2 linked regions of the Caenorhabditis elegans genome follow. The protein of the gene in region 2 interacts with the protein of the main gene of each other region in a pairwise test. Each region holds a gene or a part of one and is shown on either strand. Other genes may lie near its edges.

Region 1 (4,986 bases), on a different chromosome or scaffold from region 2:
TTAAGCAGAACTCATGTCGATTAAAAAAAAAGTTCCATTATTTAAAAAAAACTTTTTTTGGTATCGAAAGGACTAAAGTTATAAATATACTCAAAACTCCTAACGATTCCAATCACCGATAGTTATTTACTTAAGAATTTCGTTATTTTCAGGCCGATTCAAATTTTAAGTCAAACTGTGCGTCCTAATATTGAACATACATTTCCTGTTTCTACATCAGCTATTCAATCAGATGGTTTTTCGTACGAACATCCAATTAATGAATATGGAGATAATGAATCATTTTCATCAGCAAAAAGTCATTGTGATGAGCCCAGTTTTTGTAATGCTGTCGACTTGAAGCCAGTTCTGAAAGTTTTGAATTCTGGAAGAACAGTTTTGACTGGAAGCATTATCAGTGATCAACCTCCAGTCATAGAACTGTCAAGAGATGTAATGTTTAAAAATCGAATTTGAAATAATCACAACTTGTTGAGTTATCCGTTTTCATTAATGAAATTGCAGCATAACATCGAAGGAGTGTTTCAAAATAATTTCGTTGACGTCGAGGATACTATGTTGATTGAAAACTATGAAGAGGTGGGAGCCGAAATCGTTGAAGTAGATGATCAAGATCAGTATGAGGTTATCAGTGAAGATGATGAAAAGGAAAAGAGCCCGATTCCTTCGAAAAATCGAGTTTCATTTGCATTTCCACTTGTTCAAAGTCCCAACAAACAAAAAGAAGAAATGAATAAAGTTCATAACATTAAATGCCATTTTGATGTGAGTTGTTTTGCCGCGTTGTCAGAGAAAAAACTGAATTTCAATAAAAAGTCGCATAGATATAATGTGTTTCAATCAATAATCTTTTCAGAACTGTAATCGAAAAATTCACTGGAAGATTCGTTATGGAAAACTTAGACTGGTCGATCATGCACTATCACATCAAGAGGAAAAATCCATTGACTGCCAGAAATGTGAATATTCATGCCAGACAACTCGACAAATGCGTTATCACTACAAAAAGATTCATGCAAATCTGAAAATGGAAGGCTTCGGAATTCTCAAGTGAGATTTTTTAAAACTAACCGTTTGAAAACTGATAAACCCCTCTTGTAGCATTCCTCTTCAAAATACCAAATTCTCAGATGTATGGAATAAATGTTTTGGAGGTACATTATTCTAATTATTTAGAGATTACATGCTATTCAAATTCCAGATCAACTGAAAACGATCGGACCCGTTAGAAAAGCTGAACGAACTCCTCGTCGAAAACTCAAAAGTATTCGCTTATAGAAAACCAAAATCTCTTCTAGAGTACAAGCGGAAGATGTGAAGATGTTTTTGTAAGCTCCATAACTGCTCATATCACTAATTTCAAATCCAGTTTTAACAGAATTTAATGAGCATCACGACGACACCCTCATGTACAATTATTATCATGTTCTAATTATTTTGTAGTTTTACAGAAATAAAATACAGTGTTTTTTCAGTTAATTGTGTTTTTTTTTTTTGGATTAATCGTTCTTTTGACGAATCAAACATGATATTTTCACAATTATTTAGAGTCAAAAATGTAGTTTTTATAAATGTAAATGTTAAAAATTATTTCAAAAAAAGAAATGCTGTATGCAACAAAATTTAAAAACTAATTGTAAGTAAATACAGTATTATATTTCTTCCTACCGTATACTTTCAAGGCACATTATACTTTTGTCAAAGGTCTCACAACGATCAGGTCTTTCTTCATTTCTAGATTTGTCGGAAGTATTTTGTTTCGTTTCCGCGTTTTAGTTCCTGTTCTTTTTGTATTTTAACCAGTAGATGAATAAAGACTGTTTTAAGCCTGATATTTATCATCATGATAACAAACTTTCAATTTCTTCACTATTCATTGCGATGAATTTATGTAAATAACGGTTGTCGATACGCCTGAGAACATGTTTTTGGACATTTTTTTAATTCTTGATGTTTTCATGGTATATTTTTCAGATGACCTGCGATGACTGGAACAGTTTTATTCAAGTGAACATTTATGGGAAAACTATAGAAGGTCTTCAGCAACAGGGAGTTGTGTTGGAATCTCTTTTGGTTGGTTTGATAAGGAAATTTTATCTTTTGCTATTTGAATTTGAATAGTAGTTATTATTTCAGAACAATATCGGTTGCTCCAAGCTTTGGATTGTGGAGGGCTCAATGTACACGAGCTTAACTAATGAAAGCTCTACATATTCTGAAAGTACAATCGAACCAGTTGTTCCACTAAGTACAACTTTGGCCACTAACAAGCTTCCTCGATTTTCAACTCCTGCTGTCGGCCATTCAAAATATAATTCTGCAAAAAATTTCACATTGAATTTGGCTGAGAAGCTATCGGAGATTCTATCGGATGACGATAAAACTGATAAATGCCTGGAGAACTCTTATCAATCCGAAACTTCCAGGGAAGACGTGATTCAGGATTTGCTCGAAGAAATGGTACAAACTGTTGCCGATGTTGATCAAGCTCCGATTCTTTTGAGCACAACTCTCGCAAACATTGGTGTTCCCCGCTTTTCAACTCCCATCAAACCACAAAATGGTTTGGATCGAAAGTTTACAATGAACATGACAGAAAGAATTTCCGAAATTGATTCGAATTATCAAGGTTATGAATTATTCGAAGATTCCTCCAATGACTGTACCACTTTGATCCCCAACTGTCAGGAGGTCGAATCGTCATTTTATCGAGCACTTCCTGAAGCAGCTAGTTCCATTGTTCCATATCAGGAAGGAAAGAGAAGAAGCTCGAGACGTTTGAGTACTCTGAGTAGTCTCAAAGAAACTGTCAAAATAGAGCCTACAGTTTCAAAGTTAACGAAAAGAAGACGGCTCACGTAAGAATTTTTCTGACGAGAATTCTGACCGTTCGTATAGCGAATTAAGCAACGTTGATATACTTACTCTATTTTCAATTGAAGACAGACCAAACTTCCAATAATGCCAAAAACCAGTAAAATTAAATATATACTTGAGAATTTCATTGTTTTTTAGATCGATTGAAAGCTCAAATGAAACCATGGTGCCACACTCCGAACCAATTCCACTGGATAAAGATGGATTCTCATATGAACAACCAATTAATGAATATGGAGATAATGAATCGTTTTTGTCAGCAAAAAGTCTTTGCACTGAGCCCAGGAGTTCTATTTCTGAGGACGTGAAGCCGGTTTTGAAAGCTACGGATTCAGAAAGAACAGTTTCGATTGGGAATCATATCGTTGATCATCATCCAGTCATAGAACTGTCAACTGAGGTAGGATTGAAGAGATTTCCTTTATTTCTAATTTGTAAATTGTCGCAACATGATGAGATTTTCGTTTTTAATTGAATATTTTGCAGCATAATACCATGGGAGAGTTTCAATATGATTTCGATGATGAGGATACTGTGCTGATCGGAAATTATGAAGAAGTTGGAACAGAAATTGATGAGGCAGAACAGCAGAATGAGGAAAACAGTGAAGATGATGAAGAGGATGAGAGCCCGATTCCTTCGACGAAAAAAGTTTCGTTTGCTGTTCCAGTTGTCCAACGTCTTAACAAGCGAAACGAGCAAATGAATAAAAATCATATTATTAAATGTAATTTCGAAGTAAGTTCCGATCTGAGCCATTTCTTAGGGAGGATGTTCAGGAAATATGACAACATTTAAAAAAAAGAAGCTATTTTCAGGGTTGTAAGCAAATTCTCTCGTGGAAACTTCGATACGGCAAACAACGACTTCTGGATCATGCAATGACTCATGAAAATGAAAAGTGTCTCGTTTGTCGCACATGTGAATACTCTTGCAGTACACATCCCCAAATGAAGTATCACTATCAAAAAATGCATCCAGAAGTGAGGTGTGATGGGTTTAATATTCAGAAGTAAGCCGTCAATTGTTCAATAAATTATATAAAACACGATTATTTCAGAGTGTTCAATATCGAATTTGATGAAGTGGCGATTTTCGATCTTTTCCAAAAGTGCTTCGGAGGTATTAGACAGATATGAAATATTGATATTCAATGTGTAATTACAGCACATTCTTCCATCATCGGAAATATTGGGAAACCGCGGAGATATAAAAAATGTAAAAACTCGCTGAAAAATACTCCAGAAGTCGACAATGAGAATGTAGATAAAGACTCTCCAGGACCATCACACGATCTTTTCTAGTAGGTTTTTCCATATACTTTATTTTATTCTGAAGTTTAGTTTTCGCAGAATTCGCTGATCGTCTTTCGCTACGACTCTGCACAATGTGTTATTTGTCAACTCATGTAACATTTGCAATGTTTTTTAGTAATAGTTTCATTGTTTTGTTTTGTTTTTTGTTTGTTATTGTCGAGATAAACTTATAAAATATGTTTTTCATTAAAAAATAACTTGTTTTGTAAATTTTTTGTCCGCGAGTTTTTCATCTATAATACCTTTTTTGACTATTAAATTCAGTTCTGTATATATGTGATATCACTAAATTTTAATATACCTTCTTAAAGGCACACGGAGTTATTCAGATGGGCATCGAGGCGCAAAAAGTTTATGGTACTTTTCTTTAACTTTTTCGGCTGCTTCATTCCTTTTTTAAAAACATTACTTCGTTTTTTGCTAATTTTCTTATTAACTTTGCATTTTTCTGTTAAATTTTTTTAATATCCTTCTTCGTGTAAAACATGCATTTTTGATCATAAATGTTAATTGTACTATGGAAAAAACTGATCTAAAACAATTTTAAACAGGAAAATGAGTAGAAAACGACAAACTTCGCTAAAAACTAAGTGATTTTTTCTTGAAAATACAAGAAAAGCGTAGCAGCAAAAAATTGAAAAAAAACCTAGGTTTAAACCTATTTACCATACACTTTTTGTGCGGCGAGACCCATCGGAAAAAATACGAGAAGGCTCGTCAATATCTTGTTAAAATATGAAAATTTTCTAATTTCAAAGATGCATGCCAGATTATTATGAAATAACAGATGACA
Region 2 (5,133 bases):
AAATACAAGTCTTTCCAATATTCAAAAATTTATGATGGTCACACTGGAACAAAATGCGGTGGATATAAAGAAATAGGAAATTGGTATGTATTAAATAAATAAAAAAAGCATGGAAGTGACAACAATCCAAATGTTTATTAGATAACTCGGCTTGGTATTCTCAATACTATTTTTCAGATTTTCTACCGAACATGTATAATTCAATAAAATTGATGTTGGATTTCCGAAATTTTAGAAATGTATTTTAATTTGCTTAAGTTTTATAATGAACAATTAGGTGTTCAGTTCACAACTTTGGGTTGTTGCGAAATAATTATAAATGCAGACGCAGGCAAAGGTTTTTTTGGCAATGCTTAAGATAAGACGTTTCTAAAGTGCATCTTACTCTGTTTCTCCAGTATAATTATAAGTTTTCTTTTTGATGTTTTTAACATTGGTTTCACGATTTTTGTCGTTGTCATTTTGAAGGTCGTTGCGTTTAGCATAAAACAAAAGAAACATCCATGGTTTTTCTCTCATTCCACTGTTAAAAACATATATGTTTGCGTCAATTTCTGTTTGTTCTGACTTATTCCAAATTGTTCCACAAAATTCAAACTTTTTTGATAAAAATCTCTAAAAATGTGGAAGTGTTCATTTTCTAACCGCGTTGAACATACAAAAAATATATAAGTTATACATTTTTTAAATGAAGAAGGCCCTGTGGAGGTTTTATAAACCTACATTGAAAATGGGTTTCAAGCTGTTTAAATATTTTCTAATCGATCAAAATGTTGGCAAATCACCTAAGTGATGAAAAATGGGTTTAAAAAACTCAAATCGCCTATTGGAACCATGTTTAGGCGGAAAACATAAAAATTGCTAAATTAAAACTAACAATTCGACTTTCTATCATTCACAAACATTCATTTCATCACCTTTTGCTTTCCCGCCGACACCCTTAGAAAGACAACTTTCCTCTTATCCCCAAATGGTTCTCTTTTCTTTATTTTATGACTACCCGCTAGATGATGCACCGTATTATTCGTCAATCCTTGGCACTTAGGAAAAGTTCACGCATCTGTGCGTTATTCTATTGCATTGTCTTCCTGATTTCCCATAAGAAAACTGTAAAACAACGCCAATCTTTGAGTCAACCATTCAAGACTCCCATATGGTATGAATGGTGTGGTCCGTCGATTAGAGTACAGTATTGATTTTTTTCTAGTTAGAAGAATGTCTGGTGTTTGAACGAATAAGTAGTATGTTGTTTTTATTTCGCTGGTTTTAGTTTGTTTTTCATAACATTGTGATGTTAATTTCCAATTATTTTCATTTTAATTTTTGAAGAAAATATCATGATGGTTCAAAATTTTAGAACTTTTCCTGAATATTGCATTCGAGAAACATTTAGAAATGTTCTGCTAATAATGTCTAAGCTTTCATTATTTCTCACTTTAATACCACTTTCACTTTTACATGGTTGTCGTTTTTTTTGTGCTTATTTCAGTTATTTTTCACCTTATTGAGCATTAATTGCTCCAATTGCCGATGCCTTATGGTCCACCGAAAAGAGTACTCCTCTCTCTTTCTATTAGATAGCACTCGATGTCATACCGTCATTTGCGTTTACCTGTTTTACCACATTTCTGTTCGCTCATCTCAAACCTATTTTGTAGGCCTAACCTTTTTATTTCAGAATTCATTGATTGTTAACAACTTTGCTCTCATTTCTTCATCGCATCAATTCTTCGCAAAACCTTTGAGAGTTTGCATTTTAGTTTTTAAAACTGTACAAGACTTCCGTTCCAACACTAGGATAATGCCAGGAACCAGAGCTAGCACAAACAAAAAGACGCAGTTGACCAAGAAAAATAATTCAGTGTTTGTCTACAATGTGAGTTGTTAAGCAAGATTTATTTTGAAAAACTAGCCTTCCATATCCAGACCGTTTTAGTTTACTTCTCACTCAATAATATGCTTATTGTCTAATTTTCTAATTTGTTTCCGACTTTTAATGTTATTATGGCTGAGATTCTTATTGTAAAATATAGATACTTCATGAGATCTGAGCAAAAAACTGATTTGGTTACAAACAAAATATTGATTGAAACGGAAACAGTTTTCTACAAGAAAATACCTTACTTTTTGACAAAATTGACGGAAAATATATGTCAAACAGGTCTAACATACGTGCAAACTTATCAAGCACCTAAATTTTTCATAAAAACATAGCTTTTATATAAAAACAGAACATATCAACTCAAATTATAGTTTTGAAACAAAAAATTCCAACACGTTAAGAGAACCTTGAATTTAAAACTTAAAAATATTAAATAAGACTAGTATGGAAACTATATTATATCAACAATATACACCTTGAATTGACAAATACGAATAATCTGTTGTATAAAAATTTCAGACCGATCCAAAATTTTTCCCGAATACCAGAAGGATGGACTACAGTTTCATTTGCAGTCCGAAAAGAAAAACTGGATTGCTCACAGTGACAAGGTTAGTTTTGTTAAATTTTTTTTGTAAATAAGAAATACAATTGAAGCAATAGAGTTTAGACAGAATCTTGAGTTTAGCACATTTTCCCACAGGTAACCAAAAATCATCGACATTGGTTACATATCAGTTTAAGTCAAAGTAATGTGAGACGAGGAACCAAAAATTACAATAAAAGATGATAATCAAATAAAAGTTAATTTCCAACAGCCGTGACATGGAATGGTTGGCAAAATTTAAGACTTTCGCTAGAATAAACTGAATTTTTTTCGAAATTGTGAACCGTAATAAACTTTTTTTTGTAAAATTTGTGAGAAATTGAGAAATTTCAGTACAATATTCGTGAGCCCATGAGACAAATTTTCGAGTTCAAAATACACAGAGCCGTTAGTCTTTCTTTGAAGTATGCAAAGTTTTGAGAAAATTTTATTTATATCGAAGATTGATTAACTCTTGTCTCGTTGTCTGAATATTCTTATATTCTTTAAGTAAACATTTTTCAGCTGCAAATGCGGCACGGACTGCACCACGGAGGAATGTAGCAATTTCGCAAATCATCGCGAATGTCCCCGAGGATGTTCAAATTGCGAAAATCAAAGATTTCGCAAAAGACAGTTTTGCGGTGTTGAAACTTTCCTCACTGACAATGGCATAGGACATGGGCTCAGAGCAACGGAAGAAATTGCTACTGGCAAGTTAATCCTTGAGTATCGGGGAGAGGCGATAACCAAGGCCGAGCACAATAAACGCGTTAAGCGCTATAAAAAAGATGGAATCAAGCACAGTTATTCGTTTGAAGTGGGAAGAAATTACTATGTGGACCCGACACGCAAAGGGAATTCGGCACGGTTCATCAATCATTCCTGCAATCCAAACGCTTTGGTAAAAGTGTGGACCGTGCCGGATAGACCTATGAAGTCTCTGGGAATTTTTGCATCGAAAGTCATAAAACCAGGAGAAGAGATCACTTTTGACTATGGAACCTCCTTCAGAAAGTAAGTTGACTTTGTAATACTTTGAAAACAATACCCATCTTTTTGGAGTGAGTTTTTAGTATACTTTTTCATTGCGACAAAATACATACTGGCAATGAACTGTAATAAAACAATTTATCAAAATCTTTTGTATTTTTCTTTTTTCTTCCATTTTCCGAACCCCGATAAAAAATCCCAAAATTTTAAATAAATCACAATTTGATTTTGTTATGCTAGACCTTTTTATACTTTACAGAACTTTTAAAATTTTAGTGACCAACCATGTCAATGTGGGGAAGCAGCATGTAGAGGTTGGATTGGAAAACCATCAACATCTGAAGTTCCAAAGGATGTGTCCAAAGAGCTTAAAAAGAGAGGAAGAAAACCGAAAATGGATCCCACAGCACCCATATCAACAACGAGCACAGGAGGTGGAGACAAGGGGAAATTAAGTGGCACAATTCCGGTGCCAAAATCCAGGAGAGGAAGAAAAAGAAAGACCGATGTCACAGCTCCTGTTCCACTAGCCACAAAAACCAAGAGACATAGTCCCCCAGCCGAAAATGAGTCAGAAGACAAAGAAAATGTTAAACCACCAAGCGAAGAAGACATTACCAACGCCATGAATAATCTTTTAAATAAGACATACGATAATCAAAATGGTGTGCTTGATGAATGCGTAAGTAGAAAGATATCAATTTGAAAGCCACTTTTAAATTGTTTTCAGAGAAGCATCATGGGCAATCTGGAGTGTAAAAGTTACGAACACATGGTTCACAAACGAGTGCTTTTTCTACTAGAGAAAAATATGGTATCTTAAATATTTCAATTCGATTTTAAACAGATCAATTTTTCAGGGTCTAAACTCGAGACTGTAGCCACTCGTGGACTTTCAAACGGTTTACATGCTTCACTACAGGTCAGTGGTTACAAAATGAAATGTGGCAGTTGTAAAGAAAAGTAGGAATACAAAAAAACTCGAAATTCTGGAATATTTGAAAACCAATTTTCATTCTAAAAAAACCAATCGACTAAGCATACTTATTGTGTTTTTTCAGAACTGCCAAACTTGCCTTCACAATCCTCATCTTTGCCATTTTATCTTCAGCATGATCAGCATGATTTCTTGTTTTAATTTCATTTTCATAATAATAAAAACCTCCGAAAAAAAATGACAGAGCACTTTACTTGTTTTATTTTCTTTGCAACGTTTTAAATTCTATCAGTTTAGTATATCTTTCTCAAATTCCGAAGATTCGTATCATCAACTTTCACGATTATCGGAAATAAGATTTCAGACACTAACAACTTCTTTTTAAAATGTTAAACTCGATTTATTTTCTGTTACGCCAAAACGTTGAAAAAACCATAAGTAATTTTTGATGTTTCTACCAAATTTCTGCAACTTGATGATGGATATGAAACAGTTTCCAAAAGCTTAAAAATAAACTAATGAAAATTTATTTCTAAACTTGTACTAGAAAGACAATTATTAGCAGAAGTTATAAAATTATGAAAAAAAAGGCCGGCCGAGCTTATGAATTAATAAGCGACGCAAGCAACTGGGACTTGAACTGAGTGGACAAAGGAAATCTTGTGATCATCAAGTTGAACTGTTCCTTGACGAGCCTCCTTCACCAGACGTCTGGCTTCAGAACTGTGACGTGGC

Evidence for each region. Proteins that work in one complex are often made in the same cells at the same time.
Region 1: the proteins of set-12 (region 2) and zim-3 interact in a two-hybrid assay, tested with the Caenorhabditis elegans proteins (one large-scale study listed by BioGRID).

Annotation. Positions count from the first base shown.
Region 1 is NC_003282.8:10,556,747-10,561,732, forward strand, and holds zim-3 (C2H2-type domain-containing protein), read left to right. Parts: upstream 1-1,968; 5' UTR 1,969-1,974; coding exon 1,975-2,073; intron 2,074-2,136; coding exon 2,137-2,858; intron 2,859-3,015; coding exon 3,016-3,277; intron 3,278-3,363; coding exon 3,364-3,615; intron 3,616-3,695; coding exon 3,696-3,889; intron 3,890-3,937; coding exon 3,938-3,999; intron 4,000-4,044; coding exon 4,045-4,180; intron 4,181-4,220; coding exon 4,221-4,239; 3' UTR 4,240-4,464; downstream 4,465-4,986. Other genes in the region: zim-2 (C2H2-type domain-containing protein), read left to right, coding at 153-432, 505-765, 857-1,050, 1,102-1,154, 1,202-1,278.
Region 2 is NC_003284.9:7,732,817-7,737,949, reverse strand, and holds set-12 (SET domain-containing protein), read left to right. Parts: upstream 1-1,678; 5' UTR 1,679-1,801; coding exon 1,802-1,876; intron 1,877-2,401; coding exon 2,402-2,493; intron 2,494-2,993; coding exon 2,994-3,485; intron 3,486-3,737; coding exon 3,738-4,143; intron 4,144-4,191; coding exon 4,192-4,275; intron 4,276-4,321; coding exon 4,322-4,342; 3' UTR 4,343-4,383; intron 4,384-4,522; 3' UTR 4,523-4,616; downstream 4,617-5,133. Other genes in the region: vit-1 (Vitellogenin-1), read right to left, coding at 5,007-5,133.